Alligator mississippiensis: one gene and its partners. The protein of the gene in region 3 purifies or fractionates together with the protein of the main gene of each other region. This does not show direct contact. Links are inferred from orthologs where the notes say so. Each region holds a gene or a part of one and is shown on either strand. Other genes may lie near its edges.

What was found.
Region 1: the proteins of IGF2BP3 (region 3) and G3BP2 purify together in Homo sapiens (affinity purification with mass spectrometry; 3 studies listed by BioGRID and IntAct, with this or other methods). This does not show direct contact. The link is inferred for Alligator mississippiensis from reciprocal best matches to the Homo sapiens genes IGF2BP3 and G3BP2.
Region 2: the proteins of IGF2BP3 (region 3) and HNRNPA2B1 purify together in Homo sapiens (affinity purification with mass spectrometry; 4 studies listed by BioGRID and IntAct, with this or other methods). This does not show direct contact. The link is inferred for Alligator mississippiensis from reciprocal best matches to the Homo sapiens genes IGF2BP3 and HNRNPA2B1.

Annotation. Positions count from the first base shown.
Region 1 is NC_081825.1:164,554,113-164,564,181, forward strand, and holds the start of G3BP2 (ras GTPase-activating protein-binding protein 2), read left to right. Parts: upstream 1-3,591; 5' UTR 3,592-3,674; coding exon 3,675-3,692; intron 3,693-3,701; exon of another isoform or gene 3,702-3,897; intron 3,898-10,069.
Region 2 is NC_081828.1:156,759,241-156,769,309, forward strand, and holds the start of HNRNPA2B1 (heterogeneous nuclear ribonucleoproteins A2/B1), read left to right. Parts: upstream 1-3,209; 5' UTR 3,210-3,265; coding exon 3,266-3,310; intron 3,311-7,243; coding exon 7,244-7,354; intron 7,355-7,947; coding exon 7,948-8,094; intron 8,095-8,951; coding exon 8,952-9,162; intron 9,163-9,513; coding exon 9,514-9,615; intron 9,616-9,694; coding exon 9,695-9,784; intron 9,785-10,069. Other genes in the region: CBX3 (chromobox protein homolog 3), read right to left, coding at 1,716-1,781. UniProt on the Homo sapiens protein: Heterogeneous nuclear ribonucleoprotein (hnRNP) that associates with nascent pre-mRNAs, packaging them into hnRNP particles.
Region 3 is NC_081828.1:158,690,284-158,700,352, forward strand, and holds the start of IGF2BP3 (insulin-like growth factor 2 mRNA-binding protein 3), read left to right. Parts: upstream 1-4,050; 5' UTR 4,051-4,599; coding exon 4,600-4,774; intron 4,775-5,720; coding exon 5,721-5,781; intron 5,782-10,069. UniProt on the Homo sapiens protein: RNA-binding factor that may recruit target transcripts to cytoplasmic protein-RNA complexes (mRNPs). This transcript 'caging' into mRNPs allows mRNA transport and transient storage.

The DNA of each region.
Region 1 (10,069 bases), on a different chromosome or scaffold from region 3:
AAGGACACTTAGATTTATTCTCTTGTATAGCTTCTGTATAGCTCTTGTATAGCTCTTGTATAGCTTCTGACCAAACAGGTTGTTGCACATGAAAGCTCATGCCTCCCTGAACCAGTTACTCTCTAAGGCAACCTTCTACCTGACTTCAGACTAACAGTTAAATGCTTCTCTTGCATCAGACATGGAAACAATAAAAAAGCCTCAAGACAAACCAGTTGCGGCAAAGTATTGTAGCTCCTATCAGATGGGGACAGAATTTTTATTGAGCTTACCTCTCAGGGTGGCATTTCAATGATGTTGTCTTTCTGTAGCCCTGACTGAACGCCTTCATACAGTGTAGGTCATCAGGTTAGATCACGCTGACACACTTTACCTGAGGTGACCATGGAAACCATAGAGAAACTTCAAACCTCATACCTGCCTTTCGAAAAAGAAAGGCTGATAGGAAGACATTATGCTCTTCTACAGTGGCAATGCATAGGGGTGCATGGGGGTGCACGGGCACCCCCTGAGAGTGCCGGTGCACCCCCTGACCGGCCACACTCGCTGATGACTCTAAAACTCATGCTAAACTTGGGCCTACTCACAAAAGTTAAAATACAGAATAATAATGCTAACTGCATATTGCAGGAGGATGTGAGTTCATGGCTAGGCCAGCTGAGAAGGAATAATGAAGTATCTCTTCCAGCTTATCTTCCTATATTCAGGATGATTTCAGGCAGACTTAGTTGTCTGGTGTGTAACTATATGAAATGTCTATCCTTGATTAATTAGTATGGTAAATATTTCTTTTGCAACTAACTCGTGTTTATGTGCAGGAAGAGACATTCTCCATATGTGATAGATGTCTCCTCCTGATTTAGTATGTTTTTCCTGGCTGTTAATCAGTTTCTTGATATGTTCCAAACTGGATAACCTCTTGTAACTGAAGAAGGTAATTCATTCAGATTAGAAATTTCTGATAACCAGTAATAAGCAGGTTTTTCCTGTCAATTACTGCTTGGGACTCTCTCTTGATTTACACGACTAAAAGAATACTTTGAAGATGCTAAACTAAGGGTATAAAAAGGCAGTAAAACAGCAAACAGCACGTGCGCTCCGAGAGTGAGAAATCTACTTGCTTGAGAAGTTGTAGAGAAACAGACTGCCTCCTTCTCGCACGTTTGGCGAGAAATCATCACGTTATAGCTAATTATGGGACTCTGATTTGGTTTGGGCTCACTTGACTTGATTTTAAATACTTGTAGTAAATAAAGCCTTTCTGTCACTCATCAAACGTGGTGTCGTGTCAATCCCTAGTTTGGGCTAGTTCGGAATCCTAGATTTTTCTGTGCTAAAACTCGCTGCTTAGGCAACGGGCAGGGAGTTCTGGCAGCCCCCCTGCAAGCGCTGGCTGGGGATCAGAGTGCCACTGCGCTCCCGGAAGCAGCTGCAACCACTCCCGGAAGCGGCCACAGCCACTTCCACAAGCAGCTGCAGCGATCAGCTGTCTTGTGATGGGCCACAGGGGGATCCCCCCTGCCCCTCTGGCTGGCAGGATTGGCCATGGGGGACCCCCTCCCCCCAGTTGCTGACTGGTCGCTGGAGGGGCATGTGCCACCCCTGACTTAGGCGGCACCAGTTGCCCATGCTCTTCTAGTTTGCTTTTGGATGGATTCCAACATCATGGTACTAATCTTTATCAAAGAAGGATTCAGGTGCCTTCAAACTAAAAAGAGTGTGTGTAATTTACCGTGTTCTTTGGCTGGACGTTTATGCTTCTCAACACGACTGGCTGTTTTGGCACCCTTTTGGGAGGACAGCTTGGCGTGCCATTTCTAGCCTACAAGGGTACTGAACGTTCTCTTCTGCCCCGACTTGATATTTCAAATTCTAGTAAGGGAGGGTGGTCTCGTACCCTTTAACATTGGCCCTCAGCCAGACCTGCTGCCATCCCTTGGGGCTGCGCCTCTCCTACACCTCACCTAGTGCTAACCCAACATTGAAGCTCCTTGTCCAATAGGTTGAGGCAAACAGCCTTCTGAAGCGTTTCTAGCTGTAAAACTCAAAACAAAACAGAGTGTCCCAAAACAAAACTATAAATGAGCAGTCCTTCTGCAACAGTAAAGCATATTATGCCTTTGTCCATGATGTCCCCATTCCGTGGGGTAGTAAAGGGGCTGAAAAAACAGTTACTATGGCTCAGTGCCCCATTTACTCATGATTCTAATGTTCTCTTATGCTTTCTCTTTTAGGCTCCTTGTCATCCCAGATCCAGTCGTCTAGTCTTGTCTGCCAGGCCAGCACTTCAAGAAAGTTCTCTGGCTTCTCCAAGCCAGCATTTGATAGGGCTTCCACCAATCGCCCCTGCTGGGGCATGCTGTGCCTGCGCTTCTTTCTCTCCCGCCCCAGGAAGTCACTTCCAATTCCCCTGGGGTTTTCCTCCAGGCTGTTCTTGTCTCCCAGCTCAGGTTTCACCCACTCAATCGGCATCGGCATACGCTCATAAAGTGTGCCCATGCTGGTTCATCTGGTGAAAATTTGACCCCTCATTGCATGAGGTACCAAATACAGGCAAACCCCACTTAGTGCTCTTAATTACTTCCCAAAAAAACCAGTGTTAAGCAAAAGGAGCATTAAGTGAAACCTAAAGTATTTGAGAATCCAAGGTGGTGACTGCAAGTGTTTTTAATGACCTAAGATGGTGACTGCGAGCATTACAGCGAAACTTGCTGAGCGCTAAGTGAAATCAGGTATCAATTTAAAATGAGCATTCTAGCACTAAGTGAAACAGCATTCAGCAGGCTTTGCCTTTAACAATGTTTCAAAATGTAGTGTCTTTTATAACTTGTCTTGGCTGAACTCCTAGCCTGTGGCTGTTTTCAGAATGGGAAGGGGGGAAAGGGAGCAGGCATCAGTCAGGGTTTTTTTCAGCCCCCACACCCAAGGCCAGGCAGGTATATTAAAACCCCAGCTACGCAGAGGCTCCAATTCACCCACCCCACTATTCAGCGGGGCCTGGGGAGCCCCTGGAAGGAGCTCCTTCCCTGCCTTTCCCCCCTCCCATTCTGAAACCAGTAAGCACGGGCAGAGAGCCTGGCTGTTGCTATGGGAACCTGGCTGCGACTCCCCCAGCTAGATTCTTCTCCCCCTGGAACCAACAACAGCGCACTTCTGTCTGGTCGGGGTAACGCTGTAACTGAGCGCTTTGCAGAACAGGCTCAAATTACAGCTGGGAGCTGCACCTCTGTCTGAACCCCAAGGTGCTTATGCCCGATTTCAGCTAACAGCCGCCGTTGGGTAGTTGTAAACCACTGTCTGAGCAGGGTGTAGCTCCTAAACGAGCCTGAGCGTCTCCGGAGCGAGACCCCAAACCAGCCACAGCCCCGCGAACGCGCTCGCGGAGAAGAACCCGCAGGGCGGGGGGGAAGACTTTTTACTGGGCACCCGGGGGCTCTAGCCACCCGCTGTCGCTGGTTGGCTTATTTCCCCGTCCAACAAGCAGTCGCCAAGGCCTATTGGCCGGCAGGGTCCCGCCCCCCGCCGTGGCTCGAGGCGGCCCGCGCGCGCGACCCGCGTCTCACGTCACGCGAGCGGAAGCCGGTGGCCGCCGTTGAGGTTCGGCGGGAAGTGAGCGCTCCGCCGACGTCACAATGAGGGCGGCGTGGATTGGGCAAAGGCGGTGACGGGGGCTCATGCCCTGGCAGACAAGGGTGAGACAATAAGGGAGACGCGCCGAGCGGCCACACGCCAGCCCGCCTGCAGCCCGCGCCGCGCCCCTCCCCCCGCTGACGTCGCCGCCCGGCTCTGCCCGCGCGCCGCGGCCCGGCCCGGCCCGGCCCGGCCCGGCCCCGCTGGCACAGACCCGCCCGCCGGCGGCTCCGGGGAACGCCCGCCCCGCACCGAGACCTGCGCCAGGTGAGCGCGGCCGCGCCGGGCCGGGGCCGCCCGGCGAAGCCGGCGGGCTGCGTGTACATGCCAGCGTGCGGGGGGGCACTTCCGGCTAACGGACGGGGCGGGGCTCGCGCCGCTTTTGTTCCCAGTCCCTCGCGGCCGGGTCTAACCGGCCCTTGTTCCCGCGCCCAGCGGCTTCCAGGTCTCCCTTCCCTTCTTCTTCGGTTTGGGCGCAGGCGCCCACGGCCCCGGGAGTGGCGGCAGCAGCCCCAAGCCCGGTGCCATGGGCGCCCGCTCCTAAACCGGGCCGGGGAAGGAGATGTTGGCGTTGGGCCGGGCTGAGGCCCCCCCACCCACTCCCCGGCCTGGGCCTGCCTTGTGCCCACCCGCAGGCCCAGCTGCCCTTGGTGGAGGACCCTGTCCCGTTCCCCGCCCCCCACCCAGTCTGGAGGAGCTTCCTGGCAGCTCAGCTCCTTGCATAGCTTTATTCCCCTTAAGTTGCCCGGAGCAGGAAGGAGGCCCCTGTGGTTCCAGGCTGCTAGGCAAGGACCCACCCCTTGCCCCAGGCCAAGCTGGCAGCTGGTTAGTCTTTTTCCTTCTTGCTCTCAGTCCCACTTCAAATCTTGGGCTTGGTTCTGAGCGGCTCCTAACGGGCAAGTGACAAACTGGAGGACTTGGGGAGGAGAGTGAAATTCCAGGGGACTGCTGCTCCTGCCTTGAGGGCAAAAATGTGTTCAATGTGGTGGCTGTATAAAGACTCTGAAGTACAAAGGGGATGGGCTTGGGGGGGGGGGGGGACAGGAAGGTGTAAACATCTCAGGGAAGGATTATGTTGCAAGAAAGGAAACACATTGGTTGATATGGAGGAGAAAAAGTGAATGGAATCACTAAGAAAGTATTTGGCATGCAGATAAGATGTGGGTAGAGATTGGCTGATACAGTGAAATTTATGAGCCGAGTCCAGAGAGTGCAGCCCAAGAGCAGTTCCAGAATCGTCTTTCCATTGCATTGACAGGCTCATTTTTTTTCAGCAGGGCTTTCCCTGCAAACCTGAGTGGTGCAGTCTTCCACCTGGGTTTGAACCTTTCTTTTAGGGTACATGCATTGAGCCCTGCCAATAATATGTGGCTATGTCTAGGCTGCAGTTAGAAAGATCTTAGCTAGCTTTAATGTAGCCAGCTTGGGTATTAGATGTCTAGCCTCAGCAGCATGGAGCTCTGTTACAGGGTAAATCAGCACTTGCTGAGATTCATGCTGTTCTGGCCAGACTGTTATCAGTATCTGAATTAGGTTGAGTGTATATCTTTAGCTATATTGCAGTCACTTTTTTAACTGTAGTCTAGAAAAGCCCTTTATTTCTAACAGCAAAACTTAGGGGGTAGGCAAAAATTTTCTGCCAGGGTCTTTATCATTGTAAGGATGATTGTTATGGAGGAGAGCTGCCATTCTCTCTCTCTCTGCTTTGCTGAGCAGCTACTGTAATGAGATTGGGAATTCTGACTCCAGTATTGTGTAAGGCCTTAAAATTGGTGTCCTCTGTGTATTACTCCAAATGTCCTGTAGTATTGACATTGGTGGATACAGATTCTCCCTAGCAACCCAGTACAAGTTCAGAAGCTGTCAGCTTCCTGATATTTTCCTTCAGTGAATTTTCTATTGATTTATTTATCCTCTATCAGTCCTCGGGTATAAAACCTTTGTGTGTACCCGGATGAAGTTCCAGTTATTTATGAAATATCACGTACTTTTATATGAGGTCTTGTGACAGTTAAAATGCAGTTCCTTGATTAGGAGGTGGTTAAACTTTTGTGCTCTCTGCATCATATCTGAATCCCATTAAAAAAGAAAGGAATTGCCAGTTCCATAAACATGAAAATATATGCAGTCCCATTGACTTAGGTTGGGACTGCTTATGTGTGTCTTTGAGACCTAGTCAATTTGTGTCTTTAGTGATTCCCACTAAAGGTCTCATGTCCAACAGATGTGCAGATTTATCAAACTGCTCCTCTCTGCAACAACCAGCTAAAGTAAAGATAGGTGCTTTCAAGCTTGCTTTGGAGGGTGACCAACCTCAGGCTAATTTGGATCAAGCAGTGGAAGTAAGTTCTAAAATGAAGGCCTCTTATTAGTACAGTATTCTCCAGCTCTGTCTTTAAATGAAGATCCCATTTGTTTGTTTCCTTTGCATGGTATGGAAGAGGGGGACACTACTGAGTAAACAGATCCTCAGCTAATTAGCGTCCTGGTAGTTAAAACTTAAATTGCCACTTGAAAAAAGAAAAGTGGGCAACTTGGGTAACAATATTGGGATCATGTATCCTTGACAAAGGTATGCAGCTTATTAAGTAGGCTGTCACTTACATTTTTTTTCTCAGGTAAATTCAACCTCTTTGTTCTTAAGAGTTTTGCTGACAAAACCTGCCTTAACGCCATCATTGTGCTCAGTATTTTCTTCATAGAAACAAAGGACATGATCTTCCTGTTGCCACCTTTTGCCCAAGTGTTCAGGCTCATCAGCCTCTTAATGTCTTTGTCCCAAGATGTTATGTTTTTGACTTTGAGTTGACCTTCTATGAGCCACTTTCAAAATGTTTCTCTGTATTGCAGTAATATGCTTATTGGTGGATGCTTTGTTTTACTTGGGGTATTACCTAAGGCTTAGTACCTTTGGCAATGTCTAAAATGTACAACTATTGTAGAGTGCTTAGATTAGATCACTATTTTTATTTGTTCATATAGAAGGTTTATTTGTCACTTAATAAATTTATGCTTTATGGTTTTGTAATGCCACAATTTAATAATGCAAGCACATCAACCTCATGGTGATCACCAATGTACATTACTACTGCCTCATCCCAAGTATGATATCACAATCTTCTACTTATACACAACTGGGAAAATGAGAAAGGAGGATGTAGTATTAATTTGTCTTAAAGGGAACATTTTGTGTTACGAAGAGTTAATCAAATGAGAGACTTGGATCCATTGGACACTACACGAACACAGAGGCTGCGCTGACATGCAGCCTTCTATGTCTCATGTATCAGCGTCCCTGCACTTAAAAATGGGGGCGCTTTATCTAAAGCTCATTGAGCTTCAGTTCAAGCACCCCCACTGCCATTTTTAAGCGTGGGGACATTTTAATTAAAGCAGCTCTTGGATCTACTCTAATGAAAGCGCTGTCCCCTTCCCACCCCCAGAGCACATGTAAAAATGCCCATCTGTTTTGGCTAGGAAGCGCTTAGCAAATTAGTATTGCAGTTTGGAGTTCTTAAACACAGCTCTTCACTTCATGGTTCCATGTGGACATGTATATTTTAATTTTTAATGGAATTAAAAAGTAACACGTTACAAAATTATATAGAAAAATAGTACTTGTGCTGTGTAACTTGATTCATTGTACTAGTTGAATATTGACTTCATGGCGCGCACATTGCTCAAAGATGCCAACTATTCAAATAGAACATAACACAACTGAAGCACTTGAGATTAACTTCCAGTGTAGGTGGCCTTGTCACAATATTCTAGTTTAGGGGGTTTTGCTTCATTTGGTAGAGTACTAAATTCCATTTTCATCTATTATAATAGTCTGGGTTATAAATGTGTGTGTAAAAGTCTCTCTTGGAGGGCTAGTCAACCTCAGTAGGATCTTGGTACAGATTGTGGTAGAATATGGCCACGATGTAGTAACCATGTTCAGTTAGCCCTATCACTTATTTGACCTGTACGCTTTTAGGACTGGTGCTGTTCCTGTCCTTTGTATTTTCCTTCTCAACTGCATTATTCTCTCTGATTGCACATAATCTTGTACTTGCAGTAACTTCCCTTAAAAAAAAAAAAAAAAAAAAAAAAAAAAAGGATGGGGGAAATTTGCATAGTTGGAATATTATGCCTCATGAGTCTATCGAGTTGGCTCCTGGCAGGTTGTATGTTAGTGCTCTTCTAGAATTTTTATTCCCTGCTTGTTTATATAACTATGCAACAAGTTTGGCAAACGCAGAATAAATGTTCAAGGCACTCAGCAATACTGTCATATCCTTAAGGAACACAAGTCTTCTCTGCAAAAATAAATACGTCACAACTGTAGCAGTGCCATCTAATTGTGAATTTTGTCTAGGGAAGTTGGAGATTTTACATTCGCTTGTCCCGTAGACTTGTTGGAATATGGTAATTGGCTGTGCTGGATCAAAAGTGCTGCTAAGAACATGGAAATGTTCTGTGGGCATACATGAATTTGGAATACTAGTCTTGTGATGGTCTGAGGTAAAATGGAAATCACTTCATGGATTTGTAACATACTGTGGTTGCAGTCTCATTTGTGAAATGTTGCCTCACCGTTTTGGGGTTTTTTTGCTTGTTTTTTGGTGGGTTGGGGATTGTTTTATATTGGTATCTTTTACGATAGTTCTCTTGTAAAGAAAGAACCTATGTTTTCTTTCTCTCGGTGCTCAAGTTTTTTAAATTAAATTCTCCTTTTCTGTAAAGTCAAAAGTACCACAGGACATTGAAGTGCCTTGAGGCATCAAACCCTATTAAGATGCCTTTCCAAGTGACCCTGTGATTTAGTTTCTCTGCTGGGTCATGCAGTGGTGTTGAAGTGATGTAGGCTCCCCATGTTGCCCTATGAATTTTCACTCCCTCACTTGTCTGCATAGCTAGAAATACTGTAAAGTAATACCCTTATAAATTGTTGGATTGTGGTAGCTCTTAAGACAACTTGTATTTAATGTTAATAGTTTGATTTAGCATCTTATTCTGCTTGATTATATTTGCATGTCTTTCCCAAAATCATACAAGCACATTCAAATTTTGGAGAATGGCCCCAGTAAAAAGAGATGCCATTTTTATTAGCTTGCACAGGGATATTTTATCTTAACATCCAGATGGATCAATGGAGGCAACTGCTTAAGTACAGCAGTGGTCAGAAAAAAAAGTCATTAAAGGTGGGAAAGAGAGATGGGGAACCACACTAAAATATTCTAAGGTCATTATGTTAAAGCAGTGATTCTTTGTTGCAGAGATGTGTGGCAGAAAATTTTCCAAAACAGAAAATTTTCTGGAAAAACTTCCAGTGCTTAATTTTTCCATGGGAAATTTTACATCTCTAAAAATTAATTGTTTTATAAAATTCATTAGTAATAATGAATGGATGCCAATACAGTATTAGACAAGCTTGGCAATTTCAAAGTTGTAATTAATGTTTTCAGGTGATTATCCCTAGGAAGTGTGTGAGAGAGTACATATATGTTTTATTGGTTTGTAAACAGGAGGGTAAATGCACTTGTGCAGTAATCCAAACCAAAAATCAGGTTATGAATTCACTTAATTGGCTGTGCAGGTCAAATCAAAGCCAAATGAATGCACCGCTAAGCTTGTTTCTATTTCTCAAAATCTCTTGCTTCTGGAGAATCAGTCAGAAGCACAACTAGTGAAGAAGATGCAGTGTGATGATAAGTTGCCCTTGCCCATAGACTCATTGGTAAAGCCATCCTTTAGAGAATGAGAATGTGGTTCAAGTTGTTCTGAATCAGATTTGCCTCAATCTGATTCTGAAATTAAACGAATGAGTAGTGCAAGTGATTCTCCAGCTAGTGACAGTGAAACTGGAGGTGCTGCAATGACCTCAGTGGAAGAGAGTTCAACTCTGTTGAAGTAGATGAGTGGACAACCACGGCATATCATGCACAGTTCTTTTGGGTGTGCTAAAATTAGTGTGTTAACAGTTTTCAGTGCCTTAGGGTTTTTTCCTTAAATTTTAAACAAACAATGTAAGGGAAATACATGATATTGTATATTGTCTTTACATTTTTACAAGTATTCCAATAAAAATAATTTCTTTCCACATAAAGCTTTGAATTTGTTTGAATATAACATTTATACCATATTAAGTGTGCTGTATTTAATTTTTTTTCCTAATCAAATGTTTCAGTTCAAATACTTGTGGCTATTGGGACATAGAATTAACATGGGGGGTTGTTTTTTTTAGTTTTGTTTACTAAATATAAGTCAAATAAATTATGTTCTGATTTAGCATGTTATTTAGGGCATTGGTAAATTTTTTCAATTCAAAATTTTTCAGAAAACCCACATCACTGCTTAGTTTTGTATTTAAAAACTGCCAGCTCTAGTCATTCTTCTAAGAACCCATCCACATAGTAGGTTTGGAGAGTAACAATAGTTATAAGTAGGGGTGCAC
Region 2 (10,069 bases), about 1.9 Mb from region 3:
ACCCTAGCTATACCCCATCACCTTACCTTTCTGTATTGGTATTTAATTTCAGAAATTGCTTGATTTCAGCAGTTTGTTCTAAACTCCTAGTGAAACATTAAGTGCTATTTTTATGTGCAATGGATGATATGGTGTGATGAAAGGAGGCTAAAAAAATTCAGTGTTTTCTGGTAATGGTTAACTATTATTCTAGTTGACAACTGGACAGCTGAAATGGAGTAGAGCCCTCCTTTAAAAAAAATTGAATGCATCTCATTAGATGGCAGATTTTTAAAGCCAAAGTCAATGTCCTTTCTCATAGCCTTACTTTCTGGATCTGAGATTTTAGTCAGAATAATGCTGGGGAGGGGAGATGTGGATGTATCTTTTACATAGAGATGCCAAGTTATAATTTTGAAAAAAAAATATGTTGGTTAAATCCTTAAATATTTTAGGTGTGCATGAACTTACCAATGTAGTTTTATTGGAGGCCATTTTTATTGCAGACTTGCAGAGCTTTTACTAGAAAAATGCATGACAATTAAAAGGAAGTTTACATTACTCAGAGAAAGGCATCTCAATACAAGCATGGTCCTTTTTCCAACCCCCATGTGTTCACTGTATATGACATTCAAGTGTGGATTCATCCAGAACAAAACTAGGTTGTTACTTTGTCTGGTGTAACCCAAGACCACATGGTGAAACTAGTGACATAAAACCTGCACTTGCACCCGTGGTTAAAAAATGTCCTTTTTACAGGACGTTCTGAGGCACAGGGATGTTTCAGAGGAAGCTGAGGACCACCAGGATGCCTTATATGCTTGAACCCAGAATCATAAGAACTCAGATTGGAGCAGTTAACCAGAAGACATAACTGCAAGCATTTGCAAGTTGCAAAAGAGAGATTTTTTGCTGGCAGCAGTTCTGCAATAGTGAAACAAGTAGCCAGAGTCCCCCGGGATCCTTCTATATAACAGTCAAGACACATCCAACCCCAAGGCTGCCACCTGATCTTGAAGTTTGCAAGCATTAGGACTGGGATGCTGACAGGGCCTATGGAGGAGTGAAATATTTAAGCCTAAAGATAAATGTATTGTTTGACTGCACCCAGGCCATCCCCCACCTCCCCTCCCCCCTCGTCCTCCATGTTGGGCCTCAGCCTGGCCACTTCTTCAGGGACCCCCCCCACCCCGAAATTCTAAAACGGCCCCGATTTCACTGAAAAAGGCGATGGATAAAGCTCCAGAGAAGGCCAGAAAATCCCCTTCGACTCAGCCCCGCCGCCCCGGGAGCCCAGGCAGCGCGAGGATCCCGGGCCCTGGCCCCGCGCGGCACAGCCCGGCCCGGCCCGCCCAAGCAGAGGAGGGGAGGGGGAACAAAGGCCCGTTGCCGAGGCCCGGGAGGGGGGGGGCGGGGCTGCGCCACGGGCCTGCGCTGGGTGGGTCCCGGGCGAGCGGGCGCCCCGGGGCGGCCTCACGCAAGGCCGAAGCTCCCCGGCGGCGGCCTCCTCCGGGCCCGCGGGCATCGCCACGTCCCCCATCCCCTCCCCGGCCGCAGCGCGGGCCCCGGCGCCGGCCAGCGCGCTTTGTCTGCCGCACACGGCCGCCCCGTGCCCTGCGGCTCCCCCGCCGGGGCCCCTCCTCGGCCGCTCCTGCCCGCGCCCCGTGGGGGCTGCAGCGGCGCCGAGAGCGGCGGAGCGGGGGACGAGAACGAGAGGAAGGGAGAAGGATACAGACTTCACGGCGGCTCCGCGGCGTCCCCGTCGCCTCCTCGCTCCCTGCGCGCACTGAGCGCAGCGGCATCCGCGGCAGGAGGGAGGGCGGGAGGGCGAGCAGGCGGGAGGCCGGGCGCGAGCGGGGCGGGGCCACGAGCGGAGCGGGGCGGGGCGCTGCGTGCCTGCGTGAGGGGAGTTGCCACCGCCGCTGCTGCTGCGCCGGCGACGGGGCCACAGCGCAGGATATCGCTGCTGCTGCCGCCGCCGCCGCGCGCGCCGGAGCTGCCGCCTTCCCCTCCCCCCAAGTGCCGCGCGGTCGCCAGCGTAGCAGCGGGCCAAGACGTCTCTCCCACGGGAGCCTAGCGCAGCGCCGGGGACCCAACCTCGCCGCGCGCCCAGGCGGAAGAAGATGCCTCGCGGGGACCGGGAGAGCGACTGGGTGAGTCGCCAGCGGGGACGCAACATGGCGGCGGCGGCTCCCGCAGCCACGGCCGGGAGGGAGCGGGGCTGGGCCGGGCAGCACAGGGCGAAGGAACCGGGCTAGGAGAATGGCGCAGGGCGGGAGCACTGAGGGAAGAAATCCGCTCTTAGTGGTTCGCCCTGAGGCGGGCGGACTGGGAAGGGCCGGGCCCGGGAACCGAGGAGTGGGCCGCGAGGGTTTGTCCCCGAGCGGCTTCGGCCCTTCCCAGAAAGCTGGAAGAGGGAGCAGCCTCCGCCGAGCTGAGCCGAGGCGCTTCGGCTCCGGTCGGCCACGCGGCGCCTCACGATTCCCTTTCCGGAAATGGCCGAAGCGGAGCGTGAGCTTGCCGGGTCCCGGACTCGCTCCTTCCGGAAAGAGCCGAACTTCCTCGGCCCAGCGGCCGCCGCCGTTTCGACTTTTTCCGTCAGGCGCCGAAGCAGAAGAGCTCGACGACGACGGACGCTTCGGCTCATTCCGGAGGCGGCCATTGCTCCCGGAGCCGATGTTTTTTTTTCCTTCCTTTTCTGCGGACAGTAAAACACAAAGGGGAGCTCGGTGCCACGGCCCAGTCTCTTCCCCCCTCTCGGGAGCCGCGCGCTTTGGGCAGGGCAGGGCAGGGCAGGCTGGCGTGAGGTGAAAACAGGTTGACCGCGAACCCGAATTTCAAATTGCGTAACGGCTGAGGCAGCCATTACTGGGCCTGTCGCGTGCGCTCGCACCCGGGGCCGCCCGCACCATGAAGAATATGGTACGTGCCTGGCGGCGCGCGGGGCTCGGCCGGGGGGAAGGGGTCGCGGCACCCCCACATCCCCTCCTTCCCCCCCCCCCCCGTGGGTCGCTAGAGCCGGCCCGGGCCTGAGCGACAGTTAGAGGAGGAAAGTTCTGGAAGCGCCGAAGGCGGTTGGGGCTGGCGCGGGGGGAGGGAGGCGGGGGAGGGGCGGGTCGATTGCCGGGACCGTTGAACCGAACGACAGCGGGGGGAGGGCCCGCGTGCCCCTGGCGACTGCCGGCCGCGGTGCCCCGGCTTTTAATGGCGGTAACGAGGCGGAGGGAGAAAATGGCGGCGCGCAGATAGGCTCGTGTGTGAGGAGGGCTAGCGGCTCCGCGCCAGGATGGGGAGGCGGGCCGTGAGCCAGGGCAGCGCCGCGGCCAAGCTGGTGAGAGGCGGCGTTGGGGGGGAGGGGGGCTGCGGTTTCCTCAGCCGGCTGCGGGTGCAGCCGGGCCCCGGAGGGCGGCGCGCGGCTTCTCGAGGGAGGCTTTTCTCCTGCCGCATCGCTTCCCCGGCAGGCGGCGGCTTGTGGGCGCCATTTTCCTTCTCCGCAGCCGAGCGGCCCCGGCTCCCGGCGCTGCCACATGGCTGCCACCTGGAGCGCGATGTGCTCGGGCCCTGGAGGCAGCGCGCTCCGGCGCAGGGGCAGGAGGCGCCGGCTCTGCCCGCGCAGCCGCGCATTGCTCGGAGCGGCCTCTGCGCCGCAGCTCCCGACCGCGCGCCGTTTTGGCGGGCGTTCAGCGCCGGGATGCGGAATCTTCTCCCCCGCCCCTCAAATTTCTAGCCGCCATTTTTTGGTGGCTTTGCTCTTGCAGCAGTTGAGACGAATTTGTTTTATCTTAGTGTACTAGGGCAGAACAAGGAGGCTCCCAGTAACTTGATAAGCTCTTCCCTTGCACAGGATACAGATGCTCAACCGGCTTTTCTTTTGGCATTTTGAAACAGTTTCCTTCCTCTCCCCCCCCCCCATCCAGATTTCATCAGCAAGCAGGTAAAAGTGAGGTGCAGACATTTTGCTTTGCCAAGTGTAAAACTGCAGTTTTCAGTATAGTGGGTTGGTTTAATTCTGACTTGTAAGCTAACATTCACACTCCCTAAAACTCAGGGGAAATAGTCTTAGTCCTAAGGCTCTGTCTTTGCTAAGGCAAAAACATTGTAATGAATGTGTTAAACATCCCAATGCATGCAACATATTTGGTGGCTGTCCAGTAAAGGTAAATCCTCAGAGGAACAAGAAGTAACACACTTAAGCATAAGGCTGAGTAACAAAGATCATTTGTAGGCTAACTAAATTAGAGATGCACAAACTTCCATGAGCCTGAGCTTACCTCATGAAGTGATGTGAGCATGTGCATTTCTGATTTGGTTAGTCTACCCTGCGTTTCTGCTTGACTTCAGAATGACTTGCCTACCTATCTCCCTCTAATTGTACGTTGTCATCAGAGTTCATATCCTACACGAGGCCGACTGCTTGCCTGAGACTTCACTTAAATGCATGTGTATACGCACGCATGCATGCAATGATATATTAAACAGTAATGTGAACCATCATTTAATATGGAGATTAATTATAGTAGTCTTTTCCCTTGGTAATCCCAATGGCTGCCTGAAAGCTTGTCTTACATTCCCCTTCTCTCTCCTCCCTCCCCCCATTATATAGTTGGTCCAGTAAAAGACATCACCAAAACTCTTGCTCCTCACATTTCTTAGACTAGTGGTTCTCATCCTTTTTAGATTCAAGATACCCCAAGGTAAACCAAAAGCGCTCTTGGACAGACTCATGGAACGCCTCAAAAAATGTCAGCTCTATTTTTAAAAGTAGTAATATTCACTACTTTTTTGGTTACTGAAAAATAGAGCAGTTTTATTTGTTGTAAAGAATTTGGAGACACCACAACTATGGATTTCTATTTGAAATCTCTGGGTGTATCTTGTGACTTATGTTTGGAAACCTAACAGTGCTAACATTGTATAGTACCCTTGAAAGGATGTCAAGGCATGCCACGAGGCCACGTACTGTGGTTGAAAATCACTCCCTTAGATCAGCATTTCCCAACCGTGGCACATGGGTGTGGAGCCACACCCCCTGCCCACTGATGCTGTGGACACGGGGAGCATGGCTCCAGCCCAAAATGCCATCCGGCTGGCTGCACACAGCTTCCCCTGTCCCCATCCAGTGTGCTGTTTGTGCTTTTTTTATTCAGGTAAATGTGCTGTGGGGCAAAAAGGTTGGGGGGCACTGCCTTAGGCCATGTGGGGCTACATGCTCCAACCCTCCTTTCCTAGTTGTATTATTCCCATATGGCAATTGCTTATATTGGAGAAAGTAAATTTATTTGTAGTTGTCTTGTAAGGAAGTTGTAGCCTACAAGCAAACCTTACCAAGTGTCCTGCACCACCAATGATCCACAGGCTTGTTTGAGAACCAGTAGTGTAATTTTATTCATTTCACTTTTTTAAGTGACTTAATGCCTAACTTTTTCTAGTAGGTATTGGTTACAGAGTTGAAATTGCTCTGGTTTTGTTTTTTTGTTTTTTTGTTACAGTAACATAAAATACCTATAGAATTAGTCTGTTGGCATGCCAAATGATAGTGATTTGATCTAAGTTTTATTAGTACTTGCTTTAAATTGTCCTCTTCCTTTCTTCAGTTCCATTTAAAGTTTTGTAATGTGAAAGGGTGGTTGGTGAAAAATTCATTAAAATCTACGTGTTTGCAATTATTTTATGTTGTAATAGTGCAGGTATTCTAGTTGACTGTTAGAATTAGGCCTTTAGGCTTTTTTTTCCCAGTGGTTAATGCACTTGGCTTCTTGGGCTAATTTTCCAACTTTTCAAATGCAGAAAATGATGCTGATGTTCTATTAAACTGTTTGAATCTTGATTAAAAAGCATAGTAGAAGATGTATGTGATGCTGTTATTACACTGTTGGCAGATGCAGTATTCATTTTTTCTAAATAGTTTTCTAGGGGTTTATTGGGGCCCATGTTTGCAATACATGATTCAGTTTTTTCAAAAAGTCTGAGTACTACACAACTCAGGCTCTGCAGACAGTTCTAAAGAAGTACAGGGTAAGGCTGTAACTTAGAAAAATGAACAGTGCAATTTCTGCAATCTGAAATTATAGTCTTGGTTTGAAGTCATTATCAAAAGCTGTTTTGGCATTGCTTTCAGTGGTCCTTCTTCCATGTCTCACACTAGTTGAAATCCTGCCTAGGCAGCATCAAAAAGCTTTTATTAGTCTGAATAGTTTATTGGAAAATAAGTTGAAGTGATAATCATTTTAAAGCAGGTTACAAACACATTTATAGACAAAATTGGCAAGTCTCTCTTTAGACTAGTTCTTTTTTATTTTTTTAATTTTTTTTAGGGTTGGAGAGAATAGGTAGGGGAGAACTTGCACCATTTTATTAGTGCTGGATTAGCCCTTCAGGTACATTCCATAAGTAGGGACTTTCCAAAATGTAGGTGGCAGGACAGGTGATTTCATGGTGCTGACTGCCATTTACATGGTCTCTGCGGAGTGGGCTCCCTGAAGCCCCTGATTGGCCAAGGGGCCCCACCCCCTCACTGCTGGTTGGTGGAGAAGGGTAGGGAGGGCCACATGCAACGCAGCCCTCTCAGCCAATCACTGCTAGCTTGGCTGCCCCTTTTTGTTACTGGGCCTCCCAGTTCTCCCCCCTCTCCCAGTAGCCATGGGTTGCAAGGCAGGGTTGCCAGCATTTTTTTTAGTAAGTCCCTGTGTCCCCCAGTGATTCTGCGATTTGAGTAGGTCCCTATCCATAAGTGCTAGCTTGATACTACTTTTAAATGAATTGATAAAAGAAATAGCTTAACGGCTTGTAGTTGTGTTTGGAGACATGTCTTATCTATTACTTTTTAATTAAAATGTGTGTTGGAACATTCAGCACAGACTTGTTTTAATCTGATCTGGCAAAATAAACATTCTGCTTATTTGAATCTTGCATACTGTTTTTCAAAAATAAAAAAATATTGTAGGAAGGACAGTTAAGGGAGCCTCTTGTATAAGAACTCAAAATTAGTTAAACTAATTTTGGGAGGTATAGGGAAGTTGATAAATCTTAGAAAGTTAATTGTGAAGGTGAACTCATTCCAGAGGAGACAAAACTTGAAAGATCAAATAAGCAGTATGGTATTTTAAAAAACACAAAATAAAACACAGCCTAAAGTTGAAAAAGCATGTTCATTGAAAGTTCTGAATTAGTTTGAGATGATTTAGTCTTACAATACTAGTTTAGTTTAACTATACTGTAAGGAAAACTTGAAATGACATGAATGTTATCTTGTTCTCCAAAATAGAGGGAAAAGGAACAGTTTCGCAAACTGTTCATTGGTGGCTTAAGCTTTGAAACAACAGAAGAAAGTCTGAGAAACTACTACGAACAATGGGGAAAGCTTACAGACTGTGTGGTAAGTTTTATGTATTAGTAACAGGTGAATAATACGGGCTTAAAGATTTTGTAAAAATGGTATGCCATCTCCTGACCAAATTTCAAGAACTGTAGACTTATTTTTGAGAGTTAGGTTAAATATTTCAGCTTTATCCTTCCTGCAGGTACATGTTTTGTGGTCAGTGCTTACTTAATCCATGCAGCTGACACTTGGCATCAGTACTGCCTCTTAACTGTGTATTATGTATGTTGAAGTGTAATAAGTCCTGTTTAATTAGGTTCTGTTTAATTGATAACATATTCCTTTAATTTATTTTAATGAGGGCAAATGGAAGCAAGTGGGATAAGATCTTTAAAAAACTTAAAAAAACTTTAAAAAAAAACTTTAAAAAAAAATTGGTGATGTACATCTTAAGTATGTGAATGAGCCATTGATAGTAATTGCTCTTTATTATGAAAATTTACTGTTTCAAAGTGTTTGTAGTGCAAAATGATATAACACGTTTTTTATATAAATCAAGAAAAATATAAATTAGAAAAGACATGTTACTATCACAAGTTATACAAAAACTTGTTAGTGGAAAAATAAAAAAAATTAACCGTCTTTAATAGGTGATGAGAGATCCAGCCAGTAAACGATCAAGGGGATTTGGTTTTGTAACGTTCTCCTCCATGGCTGAAGTTGATGCAGCAATGGCTGCCAGGCCTCATACAATTGATGGAAGGGTGGTTGAACCTAAGCGAGCCGTGGCCAGAGAGGTAAGCAGAATCTTGGCAGCTTTTGGTTATGTGGAAGTCTGTATTAACATTTTGGTTAGGGTATACTTATTTTTAAATTTAAGCATAGTAAACTCCTAAATTTCTTGTAGTTGAAAGGCTATGGTTGAGTCTAGAGGAAATGTGACCCGCTTCTTAAATTTTTACTTGTTAACACTGCTTTAAACTTCTTAAAGTACTATGTGCAGGTGTAGTTGTTGATTTTTATTAACATGAATTAAAGACTTGCTTGACAGGAGCCATTTCAAGTTAAGTGAATGCTCCTATAGTGAGGGTTTACAAATCAGATATATCCCCAGTGCTGACTCCGTCTCTGAACAGAGAAGTATATTTTGGGGAACTTCATGTTTTGCCAAATCTGAAAAAGAGTGGGATCATGGCTTCCTTAAAGTCAGTACAGGTCAGATTCTAATAATCTTAGGTGATATGTAGAATGTGAAAACCATGGTCTGAAAATAAAGAATGCAGTCTATTTAAAAAGCATACTTTCGTTTGAAAAACTTAATCATCAATATCTTTACAAGTAAAACCTAAGATTGATTTAAAAAAAAATGTTAGGGTAAAAATATCTCTTTTTTTTCTAAGTTTGTCATGTCTCTTTAGATTTTTCACATAGCAAATGGAGGGATTACAAGCATTTTAAAAATAAAAACAAAACAAAAAAAATCCCTAACCCTGGCAGTAATATTGCAGATGAGGGGTGAGATACTTAAAATATTGGTATTCACTTTTTAAAATTAATCAGACTTTAAATTGACTTCCAAACATTTGTAAAATGTACATGTGCACAATTTCCTCTTCCATTTTATTAATTTAAAAAAACTTGTAATACTTTCTAGGAATCTGGAAAACCTGGTGCCCATGTTACTGTGAAAAAACTTTTTGTTGGTGGAATTAAGGAAGATACTGAGGAACACCACCTTAGAGACTACTTTGAGGAGTATGGAAAAATTGACACTATTGAAATAATAACTGACAGGCAGTCTGGTAAAAAGAGAGGCTTTGGCTTTGTTACATTTGATGACCATGATCCAGTGGATAAAATAGTTTGTAAGTATAGCTGTATTATAACTATATCACAGCTAATGGTGCTTTTGCAGTAAATATTTATGTAAGTTCGGGTTTCATCATACTTCCGTGTATAAAGGTTGGTGGGATCAAAGTGTTAGTTCAGGCCTTCAGTTAATAAGGGGAACTTGTGTGACTGTGTATAATATATATATTTTTAATCCTACTTTAAAAAAAAAATGTCCTCCTTCCTATCCTAGTAATAGAAGAATATCTACAATCTTGGTTGGTATTGGTATGAGAAAACTGTTTGTATTTGGCTGTTGACTTTTCTTGTTTTTAACCCTAGAAGTAATATGTACTGAATGTATTTTTCATGTTTTGTGATCACAGTGCAGAAATACCACACCATCAATGGTCACAATGCAGAAGTAAGAAAAGCTTTATCTAGACAAGAAATGCAAGAAGTTCAGAATTCTAGGAGTGGGAGAGGAGGTATGGAAGTTTATTGTTTTATGATTTTAGGTCCTCTTTTCAGGAAATGAATACTTAAGATAATTCAAAATCATTCTAGGTAACTTTGGCTTTGGTGATGCACGTGGAGGTGGTGGTAACTTTGGTCCAGGACCAGGAAGTAACTTCAGAGGGGGAGCTGGTAAGCCAGGCATGTTTGTATTTTTATTCTTTTTTTTCTTCATATTTTGGGGGGTTCAGATTAATAGTATTTTATTTAAATGAAGAGTTTTGAAAAAAGAAAAATAAGAGAAGAAACCTTTTGGTGTGTTTAGCATACTACAGAATTGCTAGGCAGAAGCTGAAATGTGAGTAGTTAAGAAGAAGTAATAGTGTATTGAACAGAGTCATTTTAACATTTTGTCAGTGCTTTTCCAGTTTTAGCTTATATAATTAAAAGGACTCATTTTTAAATCAAACAGTTTAAAACTGGTCA
Region 3 (10,069 bases):
TGCGGGCGGGGGCGGCTCCCCTGGCCCCGGGCTTGGGCGCGCTCCGCCGCCTGCCTCGGCGCTGGCATTGGCTCCTGCCACCCTCCCCCGGGAGGGGGCTGTTGTTTACCCCGCCGAGTTATACCCCCCCCTTCCTCCTGCCCTCCACATCCTGGCTCTTCTCGCCATCTGTCTTTCGAGTGACGCGGTGGGAGCGTGTCTGATTTTTTTTAAGTGCCATGTGGGTGGGCGGCGGCATCGCCGCCGCCTCCTGCGTGTTAACTTCATGCGGGAATGGGTTCCGCATCCCTGCTCCAGCCAGCTGCAGCTTTCTGCAAGCTCGAGGAAGCTTCAGGCTCGGGCCGAGGCACAGGCAGGGGCTGGGCAGGGAAGTGAGGGTGCCGGGAAGGCGGAGGGGAGGATGGGGACGCGCTCGGCGGCTGACCAATGGAAGGATATTCCCAACATTTGATAATATCACTGGTAGATTCAGTCTAATGATTTCCACCTCCTTCCCCTTCTGCTTGCATGCACTCTTCCCCCCCCCCACTTTCCCCCAACGCAGTGAAGAGCTCTGCTCAGCGACCTTTCAACTCCTTGCATTACTCACCCCTTCCCCCTCATTGTTGCATTGCTGGAAGTAGTGCAGTGCATATTTTTCATCCAGGTCATACAGACATGGCAGACCTAGATCCTACCCTCACGTTTCTCTCCTGCAAGCTGAACTCTTTCTAAATAGTTCAGAGGTCAGTAGACCAGAGGCAGGGCCCCAAAGCAGCCTACAAAATATCACCTTTGTACCCTACTGGAGATGTTATAATTTCTATATTTTGGTTGTTGCTTTTTTATGGTAATAGGGAAAAAATAATCAAACACATTCGTCCTCCTTTTCCGTCTTAATCATCACTTACACTGATCAACCAGTCCATTAGGTTAAATAATTTTCCTAACTGTAATTCTCACTTAAAATACTTTTTTTTTAAATCACTTAAAAATAATCTTTACCACAGAACAAGAATAGTTATTTACAGTTGATGGTTAATGTAACAGCTACCAATCTAACATTTGTTAGAAAACTGAAGAAAGTCTTTTTAGAGAGGTTTTATTCATTAACGTTAAATTAGTTTTAGGCGGGGGGCAGGGGAAGTTTTAGATAAACGATTAGGCTTTTTGCAAGGTCATTAAAACCTAGTAAAAAGGTATCATTTGCTTATTTTGAAGTTAAAATTAAAAAGTTTTTTTTTTCCAAAGGAAATCACAACCGTTAACAGGATAAGGGTATAATCTTTTCCTCATTTTGAGGTAAAATTATTTAACCAAGAGGATTAAGCTCAAATTTTGCTTTAGAAATTTTAAGAGACATTAAAAAGGTGACAGCTAGTTCTTTTTAAAAGTTGGGAACCTGGATCAATGGTTTTTTTTCCTCAAGAGGTTTGCTAAGTATCTAGTTAACTATAAAAATGTGTAGATGCTTACCAAAAAATCAGTTATGTCGAATTGTAACAGTTTCCTAGCAAAACAATGATTGCCCAAGCCTTCTGAGTACCACATTGATACAAATTAAATTTGTAGATGCTATTAAAAATAGCCTTTTGTCATACAGTGTAAACCAAGTTTTACATTAACATTCTGGATTTACTTTTTAAAGCATTTTGTTAAACAACTTTTTACATTACAAATAAAATAATATAGTGGAGTTCTATACAAGACACTTTGCCACATTACAAAGACACTTTCAGCATAAAGTGGCTGGGGTTATCTCCCCCAGTATTGGACTTTCAGATTTTTTTTTAATGTTGAACCACTGATCCATGTTTGTATATGAATTCCCACTCTCTCTCTTTAAATATACAGCATAACAGAATGGTCAACTAGAAGATTACTTAAAATTCACAATATACTCGATTTAACAGTTTAATGAGAGAACATCTGCACAGTGCTGTACAGACCACACATGTAAACATGAGCACATGCAAATTAAATCGCAAGTTAGTACAGATCAAAGTAATACTACTGAAGCAGTCTGCAGCTTGGACTAAGAATCCAAGCGTGGTGATGGCATGTTCCCCTCATGCACATACTGAACACAACAATAGTTCTGTTTCAGGTGGATTTTACAGGCTCATATGAAGTACAAGGTCCTTTAAGAAGGTCAGATGCAGGTGGAAACTGGTCATGTTGAATGAAGGAAAAAAAAAATCTATCTACACCCAGGAACTTTTTGCTTATTTTCTACAATGGCTGAGTTGTAAACAGTGGGAACACAAATGCACATTTTGTCAATTGCAAAAGTAATTGTCACTGAAGGTCAATAAGAATTAAGATGACAAAACTATACAGTGGATTTAAATGATCATTTTTATTTTGGTGATAAATGAAGCCAAGCAGCACAGGCTCATGAAGAGAGCATGCTTCTTCACAATTGCTGAAATGCAACAGTCCCCATTGGTGGTGACCGTCTCCCCTCTGGTTCAGGGCTCCTTCTATTCAGAAACGCCTCCCTGAATCAGACAGCACTTTATGCTAAAAATCTTTGACTACCGTTTTGTTACACGTGGCTTTTTTCTGTCCTGTTACACGGGGCTCTCCCTGAGCCATGTGTAACCGCACATGCAGACTGGAGCGGCCAAAGTACACATAACAAAAGAACTCGTCAACATGCATCAACAACATCTCTTCAAATGAAATTAAATGGCTCCTGTTTACTAATACAGCTCGTAGGAGTTAGGTGGAACCCCCCCCCCCACTCAGATAAACTGAGGCATACCCATTTACTGCACATTTCCACATAAAATACAGGACATATGGAAATGCATTCATTGCTAACTAATGGACTTCACTATTTTCCATGGAATACCTATTAAAAGGGATCGCAAGAAGACTCTGCCACGGAATAAGTGAAGCCTTTCACTCCAGCGTATTGAATCATTAAACAAAACGGCAAAAACAAACTCCCTCCTCCTAGATCGCTATATGAAATGCAATACAGTGCTGCCTTTCATTTCCGTCTCCTTTCTTCATCTTCAGGCAACATTTTGCTTGCCCGGGAAAGGCTCCACAGAGCCAGACCCCTCCCCCCACAGCCCCACCATTGTGCTCCTCACAAGCGCTGAGAATTAGGAGCGGGCCCTTATAAACCGGCGGGGGGGCGGAGGACGGGATCCAGCTCAGCCTTCCCGCTTGTGCGCCCGGGGAAGGCGGGCCGGGGCTGCTCATTCTTCACGTGTCCTCGGCTTGGATCCACCATGAAACTAGACTCAAAGAAAGAAGAACACAATCCCCCCCCGGGTAGGAGCCACAGGCAGAAGCACGTTGCCCCCCCGAGCACTCCCTCGCTTCTTCCTCGTCCCCGCGACTGCCCCTCCACCCCTTTGTCCTTGTCCCCACCAGGCTCGGCCCCAGGTCAAGAGACATGGCCGGACGAGGGGGGGCTCTTTCCCGGCGGGGAAGACCCTCCCCGCCTGGCCTCCCTAGCCCTGCTGCCCGCGCAGCCAATGGCAGGCGAGAGCCCAGAAAGCCACCAAACATGAAATCGCAGGCGGAGAAGCCCAGGTCCGGCCCGGCCCGGAACAGGCACCTGGTCCCCGCACCCCAACTCCCCCCCAGCGCCAGCCTGCACGGGTCACCGCCACCCGGGGGTGATGCGCCGACGTTATCATGTGTTCTCGCCCCTTCCTCCTCCTGCCCCGCGGCCCCTCTCCCGCCCCGGGGGAGCGCGCGCGGGCGCCCTAAAAACGCAGCATTGTTGGCGAGCCCCCGGCCGCGGCGGCGCCGGGACACGCGGTCGGGCCCGGTGCGGCCACCTCCGGCCCCGCCGGCCAGCTCCGGACTTGTCCCGGGCGGCCTTCCGGCGGCGCTGCTTGAGGCGCGGGTCCCTCACGTGAGGCGCTGATTTGTAGTTTGAACACGTGGCTCATTCAAAAAGCCGGAATATTCAAGTCCTTTTTCTCCCTCTCCCGCCCGGCCCGGCCCGGCCCGGCTCCTCCCCGGGGCTCGCTACGGCTCCCCGGCGGAGGGGCGGCGCCTGCCTGCGCGGCGTGTGACACCGCCAGAGCCCGCCCGCCGCCGCCGCGGCCCGGAGGGGCTGGGGGCGAGACAAAAAAAGTAGTTTCCCCCGCTCCTTCCTCCTCGCCGAGCCGCGCCGCGCCGCGCCGCCATCCCGCTGCCGGGGCGGGCTGCGCACCCGCCCGCGCCCAGCCGCCCCCGCGACTCCGATTTGGTTACAGCGAGGTTTTTTTTTACCCCCCGAGAGAGACGCTCGGAACCGGGGGGTGCGGGGGTGGGAGGGACGAGGCTGCAGCTCGGGCTTTTTTCCCCTCTCCCCTCGCTCGCTCGCTCTCTCTCCCTCGCCTCCATCGCACTGCACATCCCCGCCGCCCGCCCGCCCGCCCGCCCGCCCCCGGCCCGGCCCGGCCCGGCCCGGCCCCCGGCGGCGCTGCTGCTGGTGGCGGTTCCTCGCCCGGTGATTATTTCTCGTTGCAAAGAACGAAAAAAAAAAAAAAAAAGAAAAGCAATCCCCCCCTCCCGCGCAAAAAACCCCAACACGACAACAAACCCCAAGCAAGCCCTGACCCGAGCAGAGCCGGGACTGGCCGCCGCGCCCGGGTATCGGCCGGGAAAATGAACAAGCTGTACATCGGCAACCTGGGCGAGAGCGTCGGCGCCCCAGACCTCGAGAGCCTCTTTAAGGACTCCAAGATCCCGCTCGCCGGCCCGTTCCTCGTCAAGGCGGGCTACGCCTTCGTGGACTGCCCCGATGAGAGCTGGGCGATGAAGGCCATCGAGGCACTTTCAGGTGAGCCGCCCCCCTCCCCACCACGCGGCCCCGGGCCTGCGGGCAGCGGCGAGCCCCGGGCAGGGGTGGGCGAGGCGCCACAGGCAGCCCCCCTCCCCCCGCGGCCGCCTGGGCCCAGCCGCCTCCTTCCCTCCGCGCTGCGGCTGCCGGGCTAGCCCGCGGCGGGGGGGCGGGGGGCGGCCTCCGCGCCGGTGCCCCGTGAGGGAGCCGGCGCGCGGAAACTTTGGCGGGGAAAGCAGCGGCGCCGGGAGGGTCGCGGTCGGGGTCGGGCCCGGCGCGGCGCGGCGGCGTTGCGCTGCGCTCGGCTTGATTTCGCTTTCCCTTTGGCTCCTTCCCGCGGCCGCCGCCCCCTGCCCGGCCCGGCCCGGCCCGTTTCCGCGCGAGGTGCCGCTCGGGGCGCGTGGGGCCGCCTCGACCCCTCGCAAGCCCCTTGCCTGCCGCCCACGGGGACGGCGCCCCGAGGCCTTTCGCCCGGGCAGGCGAGGCGGAGCGGGGAGCGAGCGGCTGCACACCCCCCTGCACCGCTGCCAGTCGCTCCTGTTCCCTCTCCCTCAGCCCCAGTGGCCTCATCCTCTCTTCAGGGGGAGCTGTGTGTGTCACACACGTACACATGGGCACACAAACCTTTCTCACATCCCTTTGAGAAAGGGCTGGCCCCCACTCCCAGCACCCCCCTCTCAAGCAGCCTCTTTCATTTGTCTCTCCGGGCAAGGCTCTTGCTCCAGGAACCCTTTAAAAGTCCATCCTTCCAGCTTGCTGTATGTTGTAGCTTGCCACCATGCTGCTGCTTCCAGGAGTTGTTCGTGAATGAGCTAACATGTTGCACTCTCGATTTCCTGTGGTATCTTCTCGTGCCACCGATTCAGTTTAGGAGGAGGTGGGGAAGGGGAAGACCCTCCACCCCCAATGGCCCACTAAAATCCATTTTCTTTTGTTGCCTTTGCAGGTAAAGTGGAACTGCATGGGAAACTCATAGAAGTTGAACATTCAGTCCCTAAGAGACAACGGTAATTTCTTGTTTCTTTTCTTTTTTCTTTTTGGTCTCACTTAGCCTACCAGAGCAAAAAAACCCAACCCCATCCCCCCAGTGTAAAACAAACACAAAAAATCTTGGGTTTGTGTTTGCCTGCCTTGTGGATAAATGAACTGCTTGCTTAAACATGTGCATGCATGCTGCACCGCTCCTCACCTCTCCCAAAAAACCCCAAACCAGACAAAAACCCCAAAGCATTCTACTATCAAGAACATTGTAAGAATCAGAGCCTCTTCTTTAACTGGCCTGCAGTAAAATGCAAGCTTTTTGTGAAAGAGGGGGTTGTGATCAAATTAAACGATTATTACCATTTTTAAATGTAAAGCCCCTGAGAAGAGTTAAATGTTGGGCGTTAGCAGGAAATGGAATGGGATGTTTTGAATCATATAACGGACAGCACACGAGCTTTGCTCCCAACAAGAAAAAGCATCTTGTAAATATGCTGGTATCAAATCTTTGATTCTGCCATGTTGGAATGCACAGTATTTGCTACTTGTGTAGCATCAGCTTCATCTGTATTTAAGAAGGGATTTTTTTTTTGGTTATGTTTTGATCTGGCATCTACAGACATGAGGAGGAAACTGGTGTCTCCCCAGGGAAGCCAGGATATATGCATCCTTTATATGTGTTTACAATTCTTTTTTTTCAAAATGATTGCTTCAGGGCTCAGTAGTTTGAAATTTCGTGGGCCTAATGTGAAGGAGCAACACTCAGACTCTTAATGCAAATCAGTGGACCACTTTTATAGTGGCTATAGCAGTTCAGTCTGCCTCTTTCATAAATGTTTAGATTGTAGTGGGCTCCAGGTTTCTAGAGAGTAATACTAAAATAGATCAAACTTTCCACGTGCTTGCTCCTGACCTCCATTACGCAGACAGGCATACTTCTGAGATTAAATTATTTCACTTAAAAAGGCATGTCTGACAAGTACACGTTTATTTAGAAAATACTATCTTTTTAATCAATTGATTTAAAAAGATGCAAGTAATAGTTGCTTTATTGTTGGAAATCTAATCGTGGGATTTTGAAAATTTAAAAGTTAAATCTTTATTCAGCATTGAAGGGAAACTTCAGAAAGTATGGTGGTGGGACTGTGTTGATCTAATGCTAGCAGGAAACAAAATCTTTTAGATGTGTGTGTATGGCATATTAGTCCTTTTAGTTTGACATTTTTTTTCCTTTGGAGAGTAACATGTATGTAGCCTTTATTGTTTGTCATGCAGGACATGTTTAACTTCAGTTTACAATAGAATACATTCAGCTCTTTCACTATATAATGATTTAAGTATTATGTATGGTTAAAATATTGTTAGATTTAAATCAAAATGCAGTGCACATGTAAGGATTGATCAATTTCAAAATTGCATTCCAGTCTTTATAGTTTAATCTGGCAATTAAATTGTAAACAGACATTTATTAATCTCTACACATAATTAAGTGTACTGATGTTTACAGTACTGTAAACAAATTGATTTTGTGCTCCCAAAGTAAACATTATTATGTTTAGAAAATCTTTTCTATATCATTGTTTAGTGTTCAAATGTATAGTTTTCCTGTTCTTATAGAGTTCAGCGGGGAGAATAAAAACATGTTCCTCATGTGGGTATAGTGTGTGCTCATATTTTTATGGGCTGACCCTATTAAAAATATACTTTATTTTATGTCTGTAGTCCCCTGGAGGGAATGTTATGCTGAACTTAATGTTAACATTTTGAGAGATGTTGCATGGTTACAATGTTTAATTATATTTGCATTTTTCCAAATAATTAGTTAGTAAACCCCTGGTATTGTTTAATCTGCAAGCCATATTTAATAAATATCTCTCATCAGTGCAATGTGGTTAAGAATGTTTTTGGAATAGTTCAGGTGGGACCTGTTTGAAATTTTAGAAATTCAGTATTTTTTTAAGTACCATCCATGATAGAAGCCTGTTGAAAATTAATTCAGTAACTTCTATGTTAAAAGTTGCTTTCCTTTCAAAAGTGTGCAGAACTTCCCTTATGCCAACTCAGCAATTTAGGATGTCCCCTCCCTTCACTCATTGCTTACTGGTTATATATCCAGAGTGACTAGCTATCTTGTAAAAAGTAAAGGCTTCAAATGTTGAATTAGTTAGCTAACTTGGAAAGATACTTATTTTTGTGTGTTCGGAATATGCCTTTAAAAAAAAACCTGATGTATTTAAAAGGCTGATGGCAAATAGAGCTAGTAATGAGATTTCTGTGGGGAGTCTTCTGTGTGGTGATTAGAGGCCCACCTAATTTGTTGGTATGTAGAAAGTCTAGATTCAGTTTTCCATGGAGCCCAGCTTGCTGGTGTGGTGTGATTTGGTTTTCTTAGCTGAATATCACAGGAAAGAAAATTACGTGGGTATTGGTTAAGCCTTTCTTTTAGCAGAAGTGTACTATTAACAGGTTTGGTCAGATGAGGTAACTTTTGCTGCTGTTCTTATGAAGTATGTGTGTAGTACTTCAAAATTATTCATCATACTGGATTGACCTCCCACATTGCTGCCTGGGGAGTTCCTACTCAATTTATTAATCCAGTTTAAAAAAATGCATTTTTAACAGGATATGCATATTAATGTTTACAAACAGTTTTCTTATATAGTCTTTTACCCCCTTCATCCCCAGATAATGAGGCCATGTATTAAGGGTGGGGGTCCTCTGTATCCTTATGTTGTAGGGAGGGTGAAAAAGTGTGGTTACTTAGGGCTGCTATAAAACTGAATTGAGTCCAGAAGACCAATCATTGTAAACTGAGCTTGATTTGTTATTCAAAATGAAATTCTTAGGCCAGGAGTCACTGCATTCCAACCCTTGTTGGGAGGTTTGGATATGTGGGCACACCCACATCTGCAAAAAATACCTTTATACCTGCTGTGAGAGGATGATGCTGTAGGACAGTCCTTGAAGCATTAAAAGACATGCGACTACAAATTGAAAGAGGGAGGCCTAGTTCATGTTTTGGAGAACTGTTGTGGGGGAGGTACAAACTAGTTAATAAGCCAAAAGTTGGTTCTTGACTGACTTCTGAAATCTCAAGAGCATGTGAAAGGAATGTAGAATTTCTGCATTCAGACCTTTATGAATTGTGGAAGGCTGTTGCAATATTTAGAGGTTTAGGTCACTCAATTCAAAACTTGGAGAAGGCATTGTAAAAATTTTGAATGCTAATTATACTTCTGAAAAGAATGCAGTGTTGTTAGTCATGATCACCGCTTCATATTCATTCTATTCTTGAGGCACAAAAATGCAGTAAGGAGTGATAAATACATCTGCATGTTATGTTTTACAGATGAACTCTTTAGGTAGTCTCTTACTGTGATCCAAGAGCAGCTGGTATCTACTAGGGCAATGTACATGCTGCAATCTGATTATTCAAACAGCACTGATGTCGCTTGTGTGATGGGCAGTTTAGCTTAGTGGTGGGGGAGGGTAGTGCTAACACTAGCCACCTGGGGTGGCATGTTGAGCCAGCCCTTAAAGATTGGTTCTTGTAAATTAAATAGACTTTTCTTCACCTAAAATTAAAATCTGCTTTACTTCATAGAAAACTTGCTCTGATTCCCTTTTTAGGAGGTTGAAATGTGTAATGCCTGAGTTCTGGTTAACTGTGAGGGATGTTTTAGTTGGGAGGCAAGGCACTGTCCTACCTCTGACTGCCTTGCTTCATATTTCAAAATAGGTGCAGCAAATTCCTTCTTTGAGTGGTGTGTGTATGTGTGGCCTCTCTTTTTGTGGGTGGGGGAGTAATAAAGTATTGTGGGTAGGCCAGAATGCTTTTTAATGGAGCATTTTGTTCCTTAATAAATTTATTACAGGGACCTACGTTTTTTAATTAGTTGAGGTTTGGGTGAAGTTTGGTTTTGAAAGAGAGAGAAATTTTTCTTTAGGTGGAAAAAAGACCCCCTGGTTAGTGATATGCAGATTAATTTCAAGCTGTTGGTTACGCATTAAAACTTGTATACCTAGGTTAATTTTAATACAAATAGGATGTGTGTGTCTGGGATCTGGGGAGAAATGGCTTATTGTCTAAAATGCTTGTGTGAGCTCCCCATGGTGGCTAAGTAATCTAAGCAGTCAGATTTTTAGTTAATGACAGTACTCCGGATTTTGTTTTGAAATAACATGGGCCTCTAAAGTAAGGGAAAAATAGGCAGATGTTAGTAAACTCATACCTAAATGTGTAAAATTGAAGTACAGACCATTGCTATTTTTATGGACATATTCATGCTCTCTTTGTGACTGAATATGTAATAT